Drosophila melanogaster: one gene and its partners. The protein of the gene in region 1 interacts with the protein of each later gene in a pairwise test. Each region holds a gene or a part of one and is shown in the gene's direction. Other genes may lie near its edges. The genes, in order: FANCI, Rbp6, CG17290 and Nhe2.

Region 1 (7,508 bases):
ATAAATATTCAAAAAAATAAACCAGTTGTCTATCGCTGAATGGAATTTTGCAGGCTCCAATCGATTGAAAGTCAACAAACAAACATTCGTAGTTGCTAGAATTGTCTAGAAATTTGGATAAGATAGCATTGTTTTGTTTTTACCAAGAATAGTTGCTATTTAAGGGTTCTTTTATTAAATTTGTTATGTGATTACTAAAAAATGCACTAAAATAGTATAGTATGCATAGTATAGTATAGGTATTAACTTTTTAAGCATCTTCCAGATTCCAAAATAGTATACTATACATAGTATACTATAGGTATTAATTTTTTAAGCATCTTCCAGATTCTAGGAAATATTTGTGAGCTTCAGATGATCAGTAGACCTCTCCCACATCAGTGAACACCACATCGAGTTGGTCGTTATAAAAAACTCTTTATTCCATACAAGTATTTTATCACAATAACTTAAGCTCTAGATGGGTGGTGAGTGCTGGACGGACACACCCAGGAAAGTACAAAGTAGATGGATTCAATGACAGAAACTACATAAATATTAGGTAGAAGAAGGGACGGTTAGTCGCATGGATTGTGATGTTTGTGTGTGAGTTTGGGTGTGGAGAATGCTGCCTTTGGTTCGCTGGATTGCAGAGCTCGAGGGGAAGCAGCCGCCTTTGGCAACACATCGGTCGCGGAGGACCGATCGCTATCCGGATCGGAATGCGTATGCGGATGCGGAGAGCCCTACATGCCCTCGCAGGTGGACATGCAGTCCTTGTAGCTGGCGAAGTTGTTCTCGTTGCCGTCACAGCCGCCGAACTTGAACTCCACGCACTTCTTCTGCTCCGGATCGTAGCGCCAACGGGGGATCAGGGCGCGGCAGACGCCCTTGCGTGCCGGCATGAGGCAGAACTGCTCCGGATGGGTGTTGCGCCCGGTATTGGCCACATCGTCCAGCGAGATGGCGTCAAAGAAGTCGCTCACGTCGTCGTAGAGGTCCATGGGAAACGCCTCGCTCCATCTGATCCCCGCCAGCAGGATCAGCACCACTGCCACTCCAACGTACTCTTTCAGTTGTCCGCGCATTTTGTGTACTTGATTTAGCTTCGTATTTAATTCACTTGATCACTTGGCGATTGTCTTCACGCAACTGTTGGCGCTGCAGTCCAGCTTTTGGATTTATATGGTGCCACTTTGTAGTCCGAAGCGGGCGAAGGGAAGCGAATACTAGACAATACTCCCATCTAAGAGCCAGCAGAGCTTTCCGTTCGACTCCAACGCTCTTTGGTTACTCTTTCGAAGAGTCCGCTTTTGTACTGAAAATCCAAGTGTAGATATAACTACTTTTGTTTATTTACTGTTGTGAGCATTATCATCGTAAAACATACAACCATATTTTTTGTTTTTGTTATTTTATGGAAAAACAACCTGTTTGATTTTCTATATGGAGTAGACAAATAAATTTTTTCTTAAACTACAAATTTAAAGCTATTTTCCATTGGGTTTCATTGAAATAGTTTTTATATTTCAATTAGAAATATAGAATGCCTATTTCTTAGTTTTGAAATTGAAAATTAAATGTTTTATGGAAAAGATTACTGTTATCACTATTTATGGATTTTTTTAAAATTCCCGCCAATTGCATGCTATCGATATCAGTGGGTGGTGCAATCGGTAATCATATCAGGCATTTACCATTCCTAATTTGTGGTAGTTGGTGAAATCTGGCGCGTCTTTGTTTAAATCGTAAATTATTACATAAATTTAGTTGGGTATGGCACGCGAATCAATTCTAACGTGGATGCGGAGTCTGGGTGAGAAGGCGCGCTTTGATGAGCTGGAACTGCTCATTCAAAACACTCCAATAGAAAAGGTTGGACCCATAAGGCGGAAGGCAATATAAATCTTAATTGATAAACATTGCTTGATAGTTAAAGGAAACCCTTAAATCCACAATGACACGCAGCGAGGGCATAACGTATTGGAACTACCTTCTCCGTGGCTTCAATCCGGAGAGCAAGGATGCGCTAGCCAAGCGATTCGAATGTGTCCGCAGCTTCATGGACGGACTGAGCAGCACGGAACTGAGCTACAAACAGACTTTCGATCTGATCACGCGCCTGTCGCAGGACCTGGCCACCTTTCCGTCCGAGCAGCTGGCCTGGATCGTGGAGCACTGCATGGACGGGATCCGACAAGGAGACGCCAAGTGCGTCGGCTGGAAGGATTTGCTGCCGGACGCGCTGTCGCTGCTTTTGGCCAGACCGCGGTTTCTTCTGAACGGCATATCCATAGATGGAATGGAGTTCAGGGACACTACCGTAAGGAGCATTGCCACCATGCAATGGCCAGCCTCAATCCTCACGCCAATTGCCGACATGTTCAAGTGGGTGACCACCCTTAAATTAACCACAATTTAACCACACAACTCATACAATCCCCCTAGGACCATGAATCTTAGCAGTGGCGAAATTGTGACAGTACTCAACAAATTCTCTGGCGCCCTGCAGGAGCTATCTCCCATGGAACTCCCAGCGCTGTGCTTCCAGCTCTTTTCGATGTGCAGCACTGCTTCCCAGTTGATCATTCCGTTGCTGGCCCTGGAGAAGTATTTCCATCGCAACTACTACAAGCGGCTCTTCTCAGACATGTGTAGCAACTCAACGAACTTGGATAGCATTGGTGAGCCTGCACCATATAGAAGACTATATTCCTAGAAATTGACAGCATCTGATCTTTAGACTTGTTCTCGGACAAGGAACTAAGGGAGGCCGAAGAGACTATCCTGCATCACTTGAACTACTGTACTATGTACAAACTTACTGAAAAACATTTGGCCATAATGCTGAGAGTAAGCAGGTCCCAAATCAATCGATCGCTTAGTAACTTAACTAACCATGTTTCAGAACTTTCTGCACATGCCCGATGTGATCCTAACTCCGTTTATGCTTAGCGCCATTATCTCGATGACCAGCATTAATCGCGATCCAGAGTCCGCTAGAATATCTCATTCCATTTTGCTACCTTTTTTGCGCAATGTGATCAAAAACAACGAGGAAGAGCGAACGTTAGCCGACTACTCCGTGTGGTATCGGGATACATTGCAACGCAAGCAAGTCGATTTGCAGCAGGTCCTCACGGTGCTCATTGATCAGAACAAAGACGGCAAGGATGTGATAACTCCTGGGCTGGTTCATCTCGTATTTTACTTGCTGAAATCGCAATCGCCCAAGATGCACACATTGGCCATCACATTTCTAACCAAGTTCATTCGCAAGCGATTCATTTTTGGACAAGGCATCATAAAGCTTATTTCAGAGTGGATGATAGTATACCAGGAACAAAATCAGTTCTCGGGTAGGTCAAGCAAAATGTTCTTAATAATTCTATGCAACAAGAATACATATTTGCAGAATGCCTCACACTTCTAAGTGTGGCTGATACGTATACGGTCTCCGAGTGCATGAAACCAATTCAATCTGTTTTGGAGCACATGCAATGGGCAAGTTAGTCCAATGGCATAATTGTTCTTTAAGCTAACTCCGTTGTAAATATTTTAGCTGTCTGGTGAGCAGTCCATGCGCATGATGAACTTTATTCTACCTTTGCTAAAGATCTCTAATCGCGTCCGTGATGCGCTAATTGATGTACTTTGCAAAGCAATGAGCTCGAGGTGGGTCTAATTACCTGTTCGTGGTACTGTATTTACTTTTTATTCTGCACTTTATATTTTAGTGGAATTCAAAAACGGCGAATGGCGATTTATGGGTTCTGCATGATCCTCAAACAACTAAACAACAGCAATGCTGTGCGCCAGACCTCCAGCGCCACCAGTTTCTGCACTCAACACAGTATCTCTGGCTACTCCATAATGACCCAGAACACACTGGGAAGTCGTAGTAATCCTCAAAGAAATTTCGACATGCTCACGTTGGAAATTATTGGAATGTTGCGAAACTGCTTGCAACAACAATTCGATATACGGTGCTCCCTGTATGAAAGTGAGTCGAATGAAATCAAATAATACAACTTCTAATAATGCATTTCAAATAGATCTTCAGAGAGCAGTGGAGCTCAATGCTAAACTAGTGCCACATGTGCTGCAAGTCATTGACTGGCACTTTCGCAGCTTCTTCGACACCCCCTCTGCAGAGGATGCTGGTGACGATCTAGACACAGTATTCCGCATTCGCTACGATCAATTGGTTAGCTCTAGCGATGATCAACACATGGAGATTCAGCTTAAAGACAACCTGGGCAAGTTGATTCAGTTCGTGGCCAACTGCTTGGCTGTTTTCGATCGAGCTCCATCGGGCTACGACACTCGTGAGATGAATCGGCTCATGAGTTTCTGTGTGGATCGTATGGTGGCAAACAGATTACCCCTGGAAGAGATAGTGAGCAAGATTATTACTTTTAAATTTCAATAAACTAATGCCAACTGATTTCAGACGCCGCCAGCCACACATCTAAAATGTGCCCTCGTTCTGCAGCAACTGAATATCATTGAAGGAATTATTTGCCACTTATTGCTCAAATCCAAGCCACAAAACAATGCTGTTTGTCAAATATTGCCTCTTTTTAATCAGCATTGTAAGCTTTTGGAGAGTCTTAAGGCATTATCGGATGCATCCAAGAAAGCCCATAAACAGTTGAAGCAAACCGCCAAGAATAATAGCACATCAACGTGCAATTTGACACTGAACGGCGTCCCGGTGAAGACCATGTGTACACAGCCTGATAATATTTGGGACTTGGCCATATTGGATAAGCTGCTCCATCTACTTCTTGAGTTAGTAACCTTGACGTTAATCCTTTCTACTTCTTAAAACTGTTTTCAATTTTCCATTTAGTGACGTCGTAGCCTTTGCTGCTCCAGAAAAAACAGTGCTCTTGCGCTCCAACGAGCCCCTCGTCCGGTATGTTTTATCCGTAACGGCCAGCAGAGTGGAGTCTATACGCCTGGAGCCCGATTATAAGCAGTTGGCCTACAGTAAACGCACCTTTAAGCAATTGACGGACATTACAAAGGTCATTTACGAGCGCTGCATTCAACGCTTGCCGGAGCTGTGGAAAAATTTCGACATGCAGAGCGCCGCCCTAGCCACTCAGTGTTTTTCTGAATGCCTAAAAACAGCTCATGAAACGTACTCAAAGAAGTTCGAAGATTTTGTCAAGTCATTTGGTAAGTTAAGTCATGCTAAGTATATGAGGATAATCTAAACTATGGTAAAACTTTTAGATTTGGCATCTATAAAGGGAAGCAGAAACAAGGAAGTGGTTTACACAATTCAGGATGTTTTAGACGACTTTATGACGGAGTACGGCACTGATGATTCGATTTGTAAAAATGAGTTCGTTTCCAAATTGCCTGTTTACCTCTTGGAGTCGCTTGAAATTCTTTTGGATCACATTGACTACCAGGATCGTGCTGCCACCGAATCGTACACTTGGCTGCTAAATTTTTGCAGCAAAAACGAGATTCTCAACAGTGAAATGGGCCTGGTGCACAGAATGCTATTCGTTCAGCGTCAAAAGACCCACTTAGGTCCCTTCTTCGACAGTGTTGCTCGGCAATTGGGTCACGTACTGGGCGTACAAAATGAAGACGCTCCCTCAGAATCTGTGGAGCTAACTCTAAAGTCCATAAGTACAGTGACCATCGAGAGTTGCCTACAGCATCTGTATGCTGCCATCCAAAAGCAGCTGAACGATGTGGACTACTTTGTGACGAAAGCCAACAATCTAAACTACAAATGCCAAGTGGTTCCCGAAATTGACCAGATATATTGGCGGGGCAACCTGGATTCCATGGATCGTTCCATTTGCACACAAATAATCCACATAAGTCGCACTTTGCTGGTGCTCACAAACGTTTGTATTCCTCTAGGTTCTTTGATGGACGGTCTTATGAAGTTGTTGATTCAGCACTACACTTGTTTGAAAAGCCTGACCAAGCACTACATATCGAGCTACACATCAGATACGTCCATTGAGAACATTAAAAGCACCAAGTGAGTCCATCTAGTCGTAGATTTAATGGATATCTAATCTGCATTTTATTCTCCAACAGATTTGAACTTCTGCTACGTGCAGTTGGTAAACAACTTCCGGCGAATATTTACGAGCTCATCACGTACATAGAAGCTAATACCCTGGATGAGGAAGCGCAGCAGCATACAAAAAAGCGGAAGGTCCAGGCAGAACGTGCTAAAGTTCTGAGAGAGACTCGGCTAATTCCCAAGGTTATAATGGTTATCGAGGACTTCAATAAGCACATTATTCTCCTGTCCAAAAAGACCAAAAGCAAGAATAGACTTACGGACTACCTCCACTTGGGAACCATGCGCGACTTCGATATCAAGTCGACGGATTTGAGGGCAGCTATAGAGCGTAGTATCTCGGATGGCCGCAACATTTCTACCGAAGACAGTAATGCTGAGGATCGGGATGAGGATGAGGATGAAAATGAGAATGTAGAGGAAGACGATGACGCACAGTCCACCACGTATCCAGAGGACTTGGAGGAGAAGGAAGATGAATGCTTAGTCATAGAGAAGAAGGAAGAAAGGCGCAGGAGGCGTGCACCTAGCAGTGAAGCAGAGGATCCACAACCCAAACGAAAAAGAGGCCGCAAAGCTGCAGAACAGCTGGAAGCTGAAGATGAAGAGCAAGTCGAGGAAGAGCAGCCTGAAACGACTTTAAAATTAAGGCGAAACAAAAAAGTGGAGCCAAAAACCAAAAGGAGTGTGGCCATTAAAAAACCCGAGGAGCAGCCATCCCATGAGAGTCGTACCAGTAAAAGGTCAAAAGGTCCAGCGGATAAGCAAACAGCGGAGCCAGCCAAAGTGGATCTTTGCGTTCCCGAAGTGCCCGCTGAGAAGAAGAAACCACAACCTAGTCGTAGACTGGGAATACCTCGTACATTAAGGAAATGATGTTTTGTTAAAAAAAAGTATATTAAAAAGTATATGTATTTAAATCATGCCAGTCCATTGCTTATTCAAAAATGGTTGCGATTATCGCAATTACTTAATTTTCATTATGTGCTGTATTGCTGTTTTCTAGAATTTCCACATGTTCAAAAAGAAAAATTGTTCAATGTTTTTGTGAATCTTGTTCATTTAATATCATTGGAATTTTAGCTACCTAATCTCTGTAAATTAAAAGGCTGCTTCCCATTATTTATTAGTACTGCAAATAAAAAATATATATAAGTATATTCATAAGCGAAACTTGATAAATTAAACAATGTACTCACTTGCAGCGTGTGCCCATGTCCAGAAACAATAACACTTCCGTCATTGCCCACCGAGACAGTTCGTCCATCCGGACGCTTCCACACCGACACACTATCATCCCAAATTCCTGCTTGATCGTCACGAGCCACGAAGTTTTCTCCCTGGACGCGGCCATCTTTGATGCTGCGGCTGTCCCTTTCAACAATCAGTCCTTCAAAGCCCTTTGCCAAGGTCGCTCCACAGGAAACTGGGGACTACGCCTGCCCCTTTGGACAAAAAATCCTCC
Region 2 (4,724 bases), on another chromosome or scaffold:
ATTGAGCGTGTTATCGCTGGCATGGAGAAGAAGACCAATGTTCTGGCGCCGGAGGAAAAGCGAACGGTGGCACACCACGAGGCTGGCCATGCGGTGGCCGGTTGGTTCCTGGAGCACGCAGATCCCCTGCTGAAGGTCTCGATTATACCACGCGGCAAGGGTCTGGGCTACGCCCAGTATCTGCCCAAGGATCACTACTTGCTGTCCAAGGAGCAGTTGTTCGATCGCATGTGCATGACGCTCGGCGGACGTGTGGCCGAAGAGCTGTTCTTTAATCGCATTACCACTGGTGCTCAGGATGATCTAAAGAAGATCACCGATATTGCCTACTCCCAGGTGGTGCGTTTCGGCATGAACGAGAAGGTCGGGCAGGTCAGCTTCGATGTGGGCCAGGCCGGTGATCCCGTTTTCAGCAAACCATACTCGGAGGACACAGCGCAGCTGATCGACAACGAGGTGAGGTCGATTATCAAATGTGCCCACGAGGCCACCACTAGTCTGCTGACCAAGCACAAGGAGAATGTTCAAAAAGTGGCGGAAAGACTGCTCCAAAACGAAGTGCTCAGCCGTGATGATATGATTGAGCTGCTGGGCCCACGACCCTTCAAAGAGAAGTCAACCTACGAGGAGTTCGTCGAGGGTACCGGCTCCTTCGAGGAGGACACCACTCTGCCCGAAGGCCTCAAGAGCTGGAACAAGGAAAAGGAACGAACGGAGCCTCTGGACGCTGGCAGCACGCCATCATCGCCGCCCACCAAGCCCGTAACTGCCCAGAGCAGTTAGGCAACGATCTTCGCTCATGTGGATGGGGAGTTTTGGTGTGGTAGTTCGAGGGTGCCGACATCTGTTTGTTTTTGTTGTAATCCCTAAACGCGGACCGGAGAAAACCCCGACATGTGGCAGATCGAGAAGGCAGGGCTCAAGGAGTTCCTAGACCTTCTGGAGTTACAGTTCTCCACGACGCGTTCATTATTGTTTTTGCATAATTTTAAGATACCCACATGGATAACTTGTTCCCGTGTTGAGCAATTAAGTGCTAGCCTGTACTAAATTCCCCGTATGCGTAGTTTCAAAATGGCAATAAAGAATGGAAATGACCTGTCAGTGTGGAAAAGCGAAATTAAACGATGTTATCAAGGCGAAAAATAATCGAATCAGTGTTGTTACTGCCTTACGGTTTAAACCCGTTTTCGAAAACAGCAAAAGTTGCAAAATACATACAATGTATTGCTTCATTATGTATATTTCATACAATAAAATGTTATGATAACATTGGAATGCAAAATTTGTTCTTAACTTTGGGATAGCCAGCTTTATTCTTAAGTTGACTGATAGTGCCAGGTTAAAATTTTTTTCAGTGTGAGCTTTTAAAGCTGCACGCGGTTTAAGAGAGTGCCGCTCTCTTCGGTAAGCTTTCTCCGCAAACTTTCGCCGGCTACTCTTCCTCGCTGCGGCTTATCACTTATCAGCTGTGATGCTGAAGTACATGCGCCATGTGCAGCCGGTAAATAGTGCAACTGCCGCAGTCGGCGCCTCTGCCGGTGCAAAGCTCCGTAGGGGCAGCACCAGCGGCAACAACAACAGCAGCAACAGCAGCGAAGGCAGAGAGTGCAGCAGTGCAGTCGACGTCGCTGCCGCCGGTCGTTTTGGGGCCGTCAGTTGGGTTTTGGGGTCTCGCCGCTCAGTGTCGTCTTGTTGGTTGTCGCGTTCGTGTGCGCGCACTGAGAAAAGCGGAACGCCAGCGTTGCACTAACCGTTGCAGTTTCTATATTACTCTCGAGTCGCCCGATTTCAGAGCTGTTCGTACCGCTCGTGGGAGTGCGTGCGTTTTAACCAAAACAACTACCAAATCGCGTACAAGATACCAAACCAATATAACCGAGAGGCCCGAAAGGAAAACCCCTGCTGTGGAGGGCATTTTGCATTTTGTTTACCTCGATGGCTGTGTGGAGTGCAATTTGACGATTATATAATATAAAATACAAAATACAAAAAATAGGGAAAACGAGTAACAGTGCGCGGCATTCGATTTTAATTGCAATCAACTACAATAACCGCTGAAGTAGAGGAGTTAAAGCGCAAACCTCTCCCTCGCACCCCCGCCCTCCCTCTCACTCACACTCACTAACACATTGCGTTTGTGTTGATCTTTCCTGCAAAATGGCTGCCGGCCGGCAAAATAACGGCAACATCCATACTTGATCGATAGAAAGAGAGCGGCAGAGAATCCCTAGCGATTTCATGTTTGATTTATTGGATTTTATTTTTCCTGAGACTTTCCTTTAGGCTTCTTGTTTGATTTCTTAGAAAATTAAAATTATGTATTTATGACAAATGGTGACCATTAGGATGAACAGAACAAGGAGGAGAATTTAATGCTAATGTTTATTTATTTTGTCAAGAAAATTATATTTAAATTTGTTTTGCCATTTGCATTTATTCTGCTTTAAGATAGGAAGCAAAATATCTCTTATCAATTAGTGTAAAATCAATCAACAAACACGTGTATTACATAAAATTTAAATTTGATTAATATTTTCGTTCCTTTTATTAGAGATCTTCGTTGTGATCACTTTTATAAAATGGCTGACATCGGTAACGGTAACTTCGATTACTGATCAATCGAGCGCCCCCTGTCGGCGATTCTCTTAGCTCTGTTTTAGTTTATCGTTTATTTTGTTTTATTTTGTGCTGCCAATTGTCGCAATTGCAATTGTCGGGTCACGTGTTTGTTGCTGCCGCCAGTTAACTTCTGCTCTCGTTGTAACGGTGCATGTTCCCTGTGCGGGTGTGTGTGTGCTGATGTACGATTGTGTGTGTGCGTGTCTGTTCGTGAAAGCTTGCATGCTGCGCGTTATTATATTGTTGCTGGCGTTGTTGTAATTTTTGTTGAGGGAGTCACTGCATGCAATGTTCTTCTTGCCCTTTCGCACCTCCCTATCTATCTATCTCTGTCTTTTTCTATTATTTGTTGTTGCTTTTACTGCTGTTGTGGGTGTGGGAAAAATCAAGGCGCGTATTAAGCACAGAAAATGCAAAAAAGAACACACACAAAATATAGGAAAGCGAATAATTTCGGAGAGAAAGCAACGGAAAATAATTGCTTTAACAAGCAAAAGTTCAAAGCTATAAAATTTGGATGCCAGCATTTTTGAATTTCCGAAAAATTGTTCGGGAAACCAAGGTGTTTCTGGCGTAAAAAAAAGTGTCACTTAAAACCTTTTTAATGTTAAAAATCGTTCAGATTATTTAACAACGATGGGAATTTATGAAATTAGTAGAGAGCTTTTTACTAAATATTTGGAATTTTATAATTATTACACAAGCTCACAATAAGTAAACACGTATACTTATAATTTTTGAAAAACATTTGGATCTTTAACCTTTTATATTTAGTTTTCTTAATTTTTTATGAGACGCCTATTCTAAGAAAATTAATTTGATGGCTCATGCCATATGTGTAAAGTGAGTCAAATTTATTTCAAACAAAGATCTTTTACAGTCTTAGTACCGCATCCCAATTGTCACTCAGCCGTTACTTAACCGCCCCCCTTTTCCCACCCGTTCCTCACCTGGCTTTTCCACGGTTTTCCTCCCTCTCTCTCTCTATCGCTCCCACATCGGTTGCACTTTTTTGCATTTTACGATTGTTCGTTGCGAATCATTGCATTTTAGGGGGTGGGTGGGGGTGGTGCAGCAGCTGCGGATGGGTGGGAAAGCGAGGAGTGGCGAGGGGGAGCGAGTGAAGGGGAAAATTGCATTTTCAAAAGTTTCCCTGGGCAAAGTTTAAAATTGCAATTTAATTAATTTTCACCAAACACAACGAAACAGATCTTTTGCAGTAATATGTTGCCTTCAAATCAATTGGGAAACCAACAACCAAAGTTAACGCAACGTTTCTAAAACTTAAAGTCTAAACAACAAACGAAATAATAGTTACGAAATACACAATAATATTTAAACCAAACCAAAAGTGGCCTGCAAAACGAAGCAACCAAAACAACCAAAACAACCAAGAAATGTGATTCAATGTGTGCAATGTAACCAAATTATAATTAACAAGCTAAATAAAACGATAACTAGAGCAGGAGAAAAGCCGTGGAAAATCAGCGGGAAAGCCAACCAAAGCCAGGCCAAATGGAAAACAAGGAATCCGGCAGCCAATCGAACAGCCAACTAGCAGCCATCGTGGCCAATGATTAAGGGAACACTCTGTTAGCCAACTCGTAGTAGCAGCATCCCCCGTCCACACATAACACCCAGTAACACAGCCACTCAGCCGCACAGAACCACTCGACCTCCCCTCGCATCTCGATGCTCGCACAGAAGGCGTTGGAGCAACAATTATAGAATAGACAGCCAGACGACCACATCAGCTCAGCTCAGCCCCAACTGCAAACTCCAATCACCAGCTCCAGCTCCAACTCAATCTCAATCCCGAGCCAAAACCCCCAACATGGACATCAAGATTGAGCAGCAGCAGCAGCAACAGCAAGTGGAGCTGGGACCCTGTTCCCCCTCGGAGGTGCCCAATGATCCCGGGTAAGTGTGCTGCTCTTATATGTACATGTATACCCTAGCGAAAGGGTATCTCAGAAAGTAGAGAATATATTTTAATCAACTTGAGAAGAAAAAGATTTACTTCGATTTATTTATATTACTTTCGCTCTACAAGCACTAAAAATCACCATCCTTAAAAGGATGTGCGAAATTTATATTTCAGT
Region 3 (4,604 bases), 8.2 Mb from region 1:
GATTTATGAAAAAAAAAGCAATAGCAGCAGGACGAGTAGGGCGTCGCACGTGATGTGAAATGGCAAAGGATTTGCCGGGGGAGCCGGTCGGCCAACAGGGGAGTGCACTGGACAATGGCGTCTAAATTAATTATCAAGGATAACAGCGTGAAAGGTTCAGCGACGCTGCATTGTCTCCTGGCTCCTAATTCAATTACGACAGCTGGCGGCGTGGTGGGGGCAAATTAAAAAAGGCTTAGGCCAGAGTTAATACGGACTTAAGCGGGGTAATTAAAAGCCCAAGCTGCAATTGCATTCGGGAAATGTCTTAACTCACAGCGGCTTCCAACCCCGTTTTGGAAACGGAGGGAGGGTTGCTATTCGCATTCCCCTGCCCATCGTGGCTGCCGTAAAATCACGAACTGCAAATCTCTTGAGAATAATTTGAAACATAGAACAGCCCGAGGAGCTGGAGAGGAAAGCCAAAAGACGATGCCGCCGAATCCCTTCCACATTAAAATATGATGAGCTCGTGAAGGCAACGGCACAAATGAAAACGAAGTTAATAAAAAAGGTTGTAAAGGGAGGAGGGGGCGAGCCAGGTGAGTCTCAGGTGTCTGCGGAGGGTGTCCAAAAAATAATCAACATAAAAAAGAAAATTATTTGCAATATTATCAAGAGCTACAAAAGTTACAAGGCAGACAACAGTGGAAAGCGAAACGAAGAAATGAAAATGCTGGCCATGAGAATACCAAAATGAAAATATGCCAAGGCAGTCGGAAAAATCATGTGGAATTGTTTAGCAAAAGATGAACAATAGGGATGCAATTGATAGCTTATAACAATAGTAACAATGTGAGCTATTAAATACATTCATATATAAGATAATCGTTATGTTCAAGCATTTTGTTTTAAACAGTTGAATTTTCCTTAAAAGTGTATTTTATCAAAAAATTCTTTTAATTTTATCAATATCTGCCGAGTTTGAACAAAAATAAATTATATTTAAATTTTTCTATGTACAATTTTAAGTGAGCTACAATAAATTAAGCCCCCCGAATTTTCCCACTGTTTAATTTCAGATAGATTTTCACAGAACATTTGCGTCCACTTAAACTTCGCAACTGCAGTTCCTTTTCGAGTTTTGTAATTGGGGTTAGGTCCAGCAATAAACACCAGCCGTTTAATCACAACGAAGCCAAATAAACCAGCTAAAGTGAGATGCAAATTAAATTTGGTTTTAATCAAGCAGAGCCAGAGACTCATGTATTTTCCATGCGGGGGCCGAGCCACAAGGCCGTGTTCAACAAGCAAATCAATTAAAGGGCTGCGCCTCGAGCGTCAAACAAAAGGCAAAAGTCAAGATTTTTGATACGAATTTGACCTCAAACGAAGTCATCACTTGACCACTTTTAAAAAGACAATGGGACAAGCGATGCATTAGGCAAACAAAAGCAAATACACGAAACGTGATCAAAGTTTTTCCATTCGATTTATGGCTTGTGCATCCAAAACTGCCGGACAACCGGTTCGATGCGGCCGGATTCATCGATCAAGTCATTGGTGAGCGATTGAAGATCAGCAACAGATCAAGTTCAAAGTCATTTGGATCTAGTGTTGCTTCCGTTGCCGTCGGCAAGAGTTGGCCAAACAGTTTTGGGCATATAAAAGCCATCGGAGATCATCGCATTCACAGCACACATCTTTCGTTGAGCGCAGTCTAAACACTTGAAATCATGGTGAGTTGCTGGGTTTTCGCTCTAACAAATATTTATCTTTGCCTTTCCAACGATTGTTTTTTTAACATTTGCTTTATATTTTTTATATATTCAGAAATTCCTGATCATTGCCATCGCCTTCTTGGCCTGCGCATTCGCCGATGTCTCGGAGCTTTCTGGCTACGACTACCAGCAGCCAGCTCCTGCTCCCGTGGAAACCTACATCCCACCTGCACCGCCAGCACCTGCTCCCGTCGAGACCTACATCCCACCTGCACCACCAGCACCCGAGTACATCCCACCTGCTCCTGTCCAGGCCGAGGAACCCATCATCGAGGAGATCGAGCAGCCCGCCCAGGACGGCTACCGCTACAAGACCGTCCGCCGCCACGTCTTCCGTCACCGCAACTAAGATGAAAGCCATTTGTTATTGTTAATTTGTTGACTCGAGTGCAATTGCTGAATACCATCTTTAGAAATTCACTTGGAGAGTAAATATCTATCTGTGAAAAATTATTCGTTGTCTTGTCCTTCTTTGGTTGCTATCAAAGTTGAGTTCGCAGGAAAATATACTACAAAATTTAAAACTATACATAAAATACTTCCTAATCGATGTATGGAAGGACAATTTTTAAATTCAATCGCCTTATCAACAGGTTCCCATCGTCCAAGTGCCCAAGTTCAATTTGCAATGCCAAAGTCGCCATTTGAATGGGGTTTCCTTGGCGATAACCATCGCCCCCTCTGGTTTTTCCGTCATCCAACCCTCTTTAACCCCGACCAACCCACAAAGGCCTAAACAAACCGCTCAAGGACAAACACATGTTCTGGCCAACACTGGCATTCCAATGAATTCTCTCCCCATTTCGAAAGTCTGGCAGTAAAAAGGTCAAACCGTCGACTAGACCAATTTGACTTAACCAAAAATTGCTGAAACATTCAATGAGCAGGGACAAAAAGCGCTTCCCCTTCCCGGCAATCGATTGGCTTGGACTCAGCCAAAGCAAACAAATCCTCGATTACAAAATCAAACAGAGGACAAAAACAAAGGATGCCGAAATGGAAAAAATGTTTGCCCATAATGCAAAATGGGAAAATATGCGAATTCAATAAGCTGCGAGCGGTTGCTTGGTTAGCTTGGCTGGCTGGACAGAAAGGGCGATGGCGACAAGGACATGTGGCTGGGCAGGATACCTCGTCTCCTCCGTCTGACGGCGCTTACAAGTCATTTGGGCCAATTGCTGTTGACTCTGCGCTCTAAGGCGAATTTCCGCTGCGAAGTTCACATATTTTGCACTCACTTTATGCTGATGACATGCAAGTGGCAAAAATTATTTGCGCTCGTGCATTTGGCGACCAACTACAGCCACGTCTCCGAACCAGCCAACGTCGAATAATGAGCAGCAAACAAGCTGTGGAAATCAGCAAGCTATGGTCTAGGCACTGGGAAAAATTCTAGTTAAATATAATAAAATATTGCAATAGAAGTAGGAAATAATGCTAATTGATGATAAATCCATTATGAAATGACAGAAGTGGGAGAAGATTGTTCTGCTACGAAAAAACGTACCTATCATATTAAACTTCTTTCCGGCTTTTCCCAGTGCATGCGAGAACGGGAACAGACTACAGGAGCATGAAGAAAAAATGCCGCCCGACGGCAGACAGCTCCCATTTCCATTTCCATCGTCTTCTTTGTCGTGACATACGGAAAATTCCCCACGGAGTCTATCAACAGTTGATAAAGCAAAATGTGCGTAGAGTCAGCCGGAGAAATGGTAGGACCCTGGATGGCATTCTTTTCCTTTTTGGTATGTACATAAGTTTATTATTTTGAAGGTAATTGGATTTGTGTTGCAGCAGTCAAGAAGTCGCCGCAGCATAATAAGAAAATATAGACGAGGACATTGAACTTGGGGGCGCGACAATCCCAACATATGCTCAGTGCCCAAGGAATCGCCTCTGGCCGGGGAGTCCATCCGCTGGACATCGCACATTGGTCAATGGCCATTGTTTGCACTCGTAATTGTTTTCCTAATGGATAAAGTCTATAAATTTCTGCGACCGACACCCGGCCAAATGCGAAATATGTCACGAATGTTAAGCGCTTTATAAACGACTCCAATGCGTTTGTGGGCAGGAGCGGACTAGAGAACCGGAATGTCGAGGATTTATCGATGTTGGCCACTCAGCGGGTCGAAGAAAAGGCCAGCGGATTGCAATTGCCAAGCGGATGGAGTCAGATCCTGATGCACTTGCCAATGACTCGTAAATTAAGACGTTGATGGAGTTCCCCCTTTTCGAATTGTCTACGGGAGCTGTCTCCTCGAAATTTTTTTGTTTCGCTTTCCTTGATTTGAAATGGAAAATGAGAAAATTTAAGACACATAAATTTCAATAACAGTGCATCGTAATAAAAATTTAACATTGCTCTTTTATTTTAAGCGAACCTATTCTTCATTGAAAGGTGGCTGATGAATTCCGAGAATTCGATTCATGTTTTCCTTGTACATCTGAGTTCTGGTGGGTTGATTATCTTTTTTCTGGTTACCGGTACGGACTTCCTTTAGTCGATCGTGGGCCAAGGGGAATGAAAATCCGTCACCACGACTAGAGAAGATCGGAAAGGGCCAGAGGTACCACTTATCGCCATAAAGGTCACGAAAATTAACAAAATATCCCAAATTGAAACCATTATTGTTCTTGCCGCCAAGAAGAAAGTATGTGGCATAAGCCGACTCCATAGTGGTGCGATTTCGAGATACGTTTAACAAGCTGACAGTGTACATAATCACGGTGAATATGTTAAAGAGTATGCATACCAAGTACTGAAGAATGTTCCAGGAATGCTGATTTTTCAGGGCAGTAACTTCAAAGCCACAAATCAGGTACAAATCATAGACCATT
Region 4 (4,641 bases), on another chromosome or scaffold:
GGAAAAAGTCGGGTAGATAATTAAATAATATAGTTACATAACAATTTTACTGTTCGGCAACACTGCAAGGGTATATAGCTTCGACTAGCCCGACTTACTTATTCGCCGCGTTATGTGTCCTTTGTCCTTCGTCCATGGCCATTGCAAATGTGTTATGTGTAATAAAATAGTTTTATTCTGTTTCCAATGGCTTTCAATCTGTCTGATAAATGGTAGCAAAGGAGATGGAGGGGCTGTCTGATTTACTATTTCGGTTCGTCCTGCCGCGTGTCCTTCGGAAAATTCTGAGGCTTACATAATAGCCGGTGGCTGTGGCGGAAAAGCTTTAAGGCGTGCTGGTCGTTATTACTGTTATTGCTATTTTTCAGGCTGAAAGTTTAAACCGCACACACGCACAAAATATTGAGTCTAATGAACCTATATATATACATATATATATATATATATTGGAAAAAATTATTCAACGATTTTTAGCTCTCTAAACCACTAGAAAAATTATAGGAAATACAAAGAAAATTGTTCGATTGTAAACAAATCACAGGGTAAACCCTCTGCAAATATCAAATTTTAACTTTTCCCATTTATTCCTTAACTTGAAAATAAGTTTTTCTGTACAATTGCCATCGTGCCAGTGTTTTTGCAGTGTAGCAATGCTCTCTTTTGATCCATAAAATCGCCGTTAGGACCACCCAATCAAGGCAGCAGACGATGCAGTTTCGCCAAATGAACCCCCAGTCTTTGGATTCCATTACGTGCACTTAGCTGCAGTCGTTCAAGTACAAGGATAATGGGACGCCGCAGTCGTGTTTTCAGACCAAGATAATAGAGCTGCACCCACGCCATCAGAGGCCAACTGTGGATCGATATTATTGAAATGCCACGTTATTGAAATGCTTGCATCGAAAGTGCTGCTCTCACTTAGTTGCTCCATGCCCTTTGCAATTATCAAGGAATTACAATCGTGTTGTTATCCTTGCACACAGGCCCGGCCCGCAGCCATGTTGTGCCTCCAAAAAAAATCAATTTCCATTGCAGAGAAGACGGCTTTCCTGCCCTTTTGGTGGTCGGTCAACTTCACTTGTAGCAGCAATTATTCATTTCAATTAACTGCACAACAGTGTCCACAATGCTAGGAAATTGCCAACGATGTCCTTTTGAATTTCAGCTAGCTTTGTGTTTGGCGTTTTTACTTTGAGACAGAAGAGCATACTATGTTCACATATATGTGCATATGTTATGGTTTTATTGGGTTCGCTTGTTGAGGGGGAGATAAAAATATAGTTTCTATGACGAATATAAAAAAATTTTCTTTTTAAGCCCTTTTCTGTTCATTTAATTTACCTATTTATTTAATTGGTCCCAAATCACAACATTCCGGGATATATTCATTTAATATAATAACATATGTAATATACCATAATAAATACAGCAATGCATTCTTCTTTGGACTCTTGAAGGATGAGGGATAGTTACTAGATATTTTAGTTGGCACCACTTTTTGCTTTTATTTGCATATACTCTTCCTATGCCTAACAGCTGTTAATCCGGCTTACAGACCCACGCTAACAGCTGGAGCACCTCTGTTATCAGGCCGATATTTTTCGAATATATTTTCCACCAATTCTCGCATTCATTCAGTTCTCGACTGTTGAGCGCGCAACTGTTTTCATTTTTCCGGCTCGGTCGCAAAATTCGATTTTCCACTACACTTTATTTGGGAACAATTCGGATACGTTTCGGGAAACTTTTTAAATATGCAAATCGAACCGAAGCAAGCCGTGTTTTTTCCTTACTTTTAAGGTTGTGTGTTTTTATACTCGTAATGTGTAAACATACGTATACGTATGTATCTACGCCCTCTTCAGTCAATAAATATTAATGCTATTTTGTGCAGTTAGACAGGCATGAATTAGAAAGCATTATTTATTGCACACGTCTGCAGTGTGAATCAAAACAAAATCGGAAGCGGCCCGAGAGTGGGTGAGAAAGAGGAGGAGGAGGAGAGCGTGAGAAACCCAGTGGAAAAGAAATAACAGCTGCCGGCTGATTTGTTGCCGAAAAGGAATACGAAGAAAGAAGAAAAACGTGCGTAATGAAGTTCAATCTACACTGAAAACCAATCTTAATCTAAGAATTTGTACCTTTGAAATATATTAACAAGTGCTGGTCAATATAGTATACATCCCGATGTGGATTTTATTTTCCTAAATATTAGTAACTAGAAAAAAATCTAAAAGATACATTTCTCTGATGCAGATACTACGTACTTGTACGTAAGATAAATATTTGCAGGTTATGCAGATGTTTGCGCTGTATTCCTCGTGTATTTATAGACCATCTTCTATATTTTTCACGTTTCCACAAGACTGTTTTTCCTCTATTACTTATTTTTTGACGTCTACAGAGAGTGCACTTGAGTTTATTTTGGTCTTTTGCCGGCTCAGTCGATCTTGTTTTCAATTCTCCATTCGTCTTGCTCCACTTATTCGCTCCCGCTTCGCATTCCGAAATCCCAAGTGTCTTTTGCCTACATAGAAAACATTTGTAATTGTTGCTGGCTCGGCCTACATGTGTCTACATATTTCTTGTCGCCAGTCGACTATGGGAAATTTACCCCCTTTTTTTGGCCAAAACCTATTTTATGAAAGTCGATCGATGAGGAAGATAATATTAAATTTATGCATGTATGCATTGACCAATGTTTAGTTCTGGATATTAGAAATAAATATAGAGGGCGCCACAACAAAGAAATCAGCTGTTGAAAACAGCTGTTGCACTCAGAAAATATGTTTGTCTGAAACGAACAAAGCATTTTTTTTAATTCTGCAAAATGAATTTTATTCTGTGTGGTTTGTATAAAATAAATTAAATATCTTAATCCGTTCTGGAGTTACAAACTACAAAAATATGAAAGGCGGTGCCACGCCCACAATTTTTGGTACTATAAAAGATGTGTGGTAGTGTAACCCAATGGAATAAAAATTATCTTAACATCTCTCCCCGTTCTGGAGTTTTTAATTTTGGCCAGAAAAAGTGTTCAAATTTCCCATAGTGCAGTCTGATAACATGGAGCAGCATGGCAACATATGTATGTACATACGAGTATGTACATATGTACATATGTGCTCCTGAATCTTGCTTCACGCAAACCCGATTCTTTCCACTGACTCATCAGATTTAAAAATTCTTTATATAGCTATGTAAATCTTATTATGCCGGATGCTTATGTATTCATAGAATTATTAGACCCTTAAATAATTTTCCAACCGAAAAATTTTAAACAAAATAAGTTGAATTACTTTAGTCTACCATTTTTATTAACATGGGAAAAGACAAATCACGATTAAGGAACGCCGAATTCTTTTAATTACTTTTTTTATGATTACTTCCAAAATTATTGTTTGTGCTAAGAGATGCTAAGAGACGAACTTTACTCGATGAGTCAAGAAACACGTTTCGTTTAATCAAACATGCACATATAACCAAAAACTCACATGGGCTGAATATAGCGCTGACATAAATTCCTCCAATATGTACATATATACATATTATATACCTAAAGATATAGATACATATATATATATGTAGATACATACATATACATATACATGTTTGTGCATATTTTGCCACAAAGGCCTGTCAAAATTTTTTTTCAGAATTAAATCGTCAATCAAGTTGATTTCATTATCAATTATCAGCCAATAAATTAAGATATGAACTCACACCGAATTATCTATGAAAATGAATGTAAACAGTATACAATTCGTTATCTAACGTGTTTCATAAATATAAGCCCTTACCTGTGAAGGTGCTGGTCAGTAGCCTTGTAAAAATGATAGCAATAATAATAACTCTGAGAAACAGGAAAACACCGTGAATTCCTAGGCAAATTGATACCTGGGTATCAGGAAAGAACCGTGAATTCCTAGGCAAATTGATACCTGGGTAAACAGATATATGTATGTACATATATGTATGTAATTCGTTTAGAAAACAATCCATTTCAATTAACGTTTTGTTTTGTGTGGCCTGCTGACCAGCGCATATTGTTAACCACGGTAAGTACTATGAGTTCCAAAGCTCATTTGGATTATACTGATAAAATGTGACATGTCCTTGTACAACAACAAGATTCGATGATGAGACTTAAATTAAATCATTAGACCTTGGCCACTTTTGAACAATTGTTCATTTTGTTTGACCTGTAAACAGTTAAGAAATATCTCAAGTAGTCCGTTCGTATGATATTTACCAAAATCCATTTAGGAATTAAACGAAAAATATAGAAAATCGACTTTTGAGCTTTTAATTACGTCCAGTCGAGCCAGCAGACCAACTGCATGAAATATTTTATCAGTGCAGTGATCTCATCTAGGAAACGGCTTTCATTATAGACTCTAACTAAGGTCACTTAAGCTGGGCTTTTTCACTTACTGGTCAGGTATTTTTGGTCAATAACAACTTATACTTAAGTATGGGACGTAGTATTAACGGTGGTTTGTTTACGTATGTGCGTTTATCTAGGGGAATTTTGCACTGCTTTCTTTTTGGTATCTCTAAGATAAACATCAAAGTCGGCCTGTGATAGATAATATAATAATTATTTGTTAGTTAATTGAAATATTTTTATTACCCGGATTT

The links.
Region 2: the proteins of FANCI (region 1) and Rbp6 interact in a two-hybrid assay, tested with the Drosophila melanogaster proteins (one large-scale study listed by BioGRID).
Region 3: the proteins of FANCI (region 1) and CG17290 interact in a two-hybrid assay, tested with the Drosophila melanogaster proteins (one large-scale study listed by BioGRID).
Region 4: the proteins of FANCI (region 1) and Nhe2 interact in a two-hybrid assay, tested with the Drosophila melanogaster proteins (one large-scale study listed by BioGRID).

The regions. Positions count from the first base shown.
Region 1 is NT_033778.4:8,934,028-8,941,535, reverse strand, and holds FANCI (fanconi anemia complementation group I), read left to right. Parts: upstream 1-1,746; 5' UTR 1,747-1,782; coding exon 1,783-1,854; intron 1,855-1,912; coding exon 1,913-2,367; intron 2,368-2,427; coding exon 2,428-2,663; intron 2,664-2,722; coding exon 2,723-2,832; intron 2,833-2,887; coding exon 2,888-3,338; intron 3,339-3,394; coding exon 3,395-3,483; intron 3,484-3,541; coding exon 3,542-3,654; intron 3,655-3,716; coding exon 3,717-3,982; intron 3,983-4,034; coding exon 4,035-4,378; intron 4,379-4,432; coding exon 4,433-4,773; intron 4,774-4,834; coding exon 4,835-5,166; intron 5,167-5,223; coding exon 5,224-5,995; intron 5,996-6,054; coding exon 6,055-6,919; 3' UTR 6,920-6,960; downstream 6,961-7,508. Other genes in the region: CG13748 (uncharacterized protein), read right to left, coding at 726-1,067.
Region 2 is NT_037436.4:17,235,170-17,239,893, reverse strand, and holds the start of Rbp6 (RNA-binding protein 6), read left to right. Parts: upstream 1-1,681; 5' UTR 1,682-2,062; intron 2,063-3,831; 5' UTR 3,832-4,456; coding exon 4,457-4,542; intron 4,543-4,724. Other genes in the region: Afg3l2 (AFG3 like matrix AAA peptidase subunit 2), read left to right, coding at 1-783. UniProt on the Drosophila melanogaster protein: RNA binding protein that regulates the expression of target mRNAs at the translation level. May play a role in the proliferation and maintenance of stem cells in the central nervous system.
Region 3 is NT_033778.4:17,153,027-17,157,630, forward strand, and holds CG17290 (uncharacterized protein), read left to right. Parts: upstream 1-1,562; 5' UTR 1,563-1,715; coding exon 1,716-1,718; intron 1,719-1,812; coding exon 1,813-2,109; 3' UTR 2,110-4,099; downstream 4,100-4,604. Other genes in the region: CG17287 (uncharacterized protein), read right to left, coding at 4,148-4,604.
Region 4 is NT_033779.5:21,106,143-21,110,783, forward strand, and holds the start of Nhe2 (Na[+]/H[+] hydrogen exchanger 2), read left to right. Parts: upstream 1-1,638; 5' UTR 1,639-2,085; intron 2,086-4,641.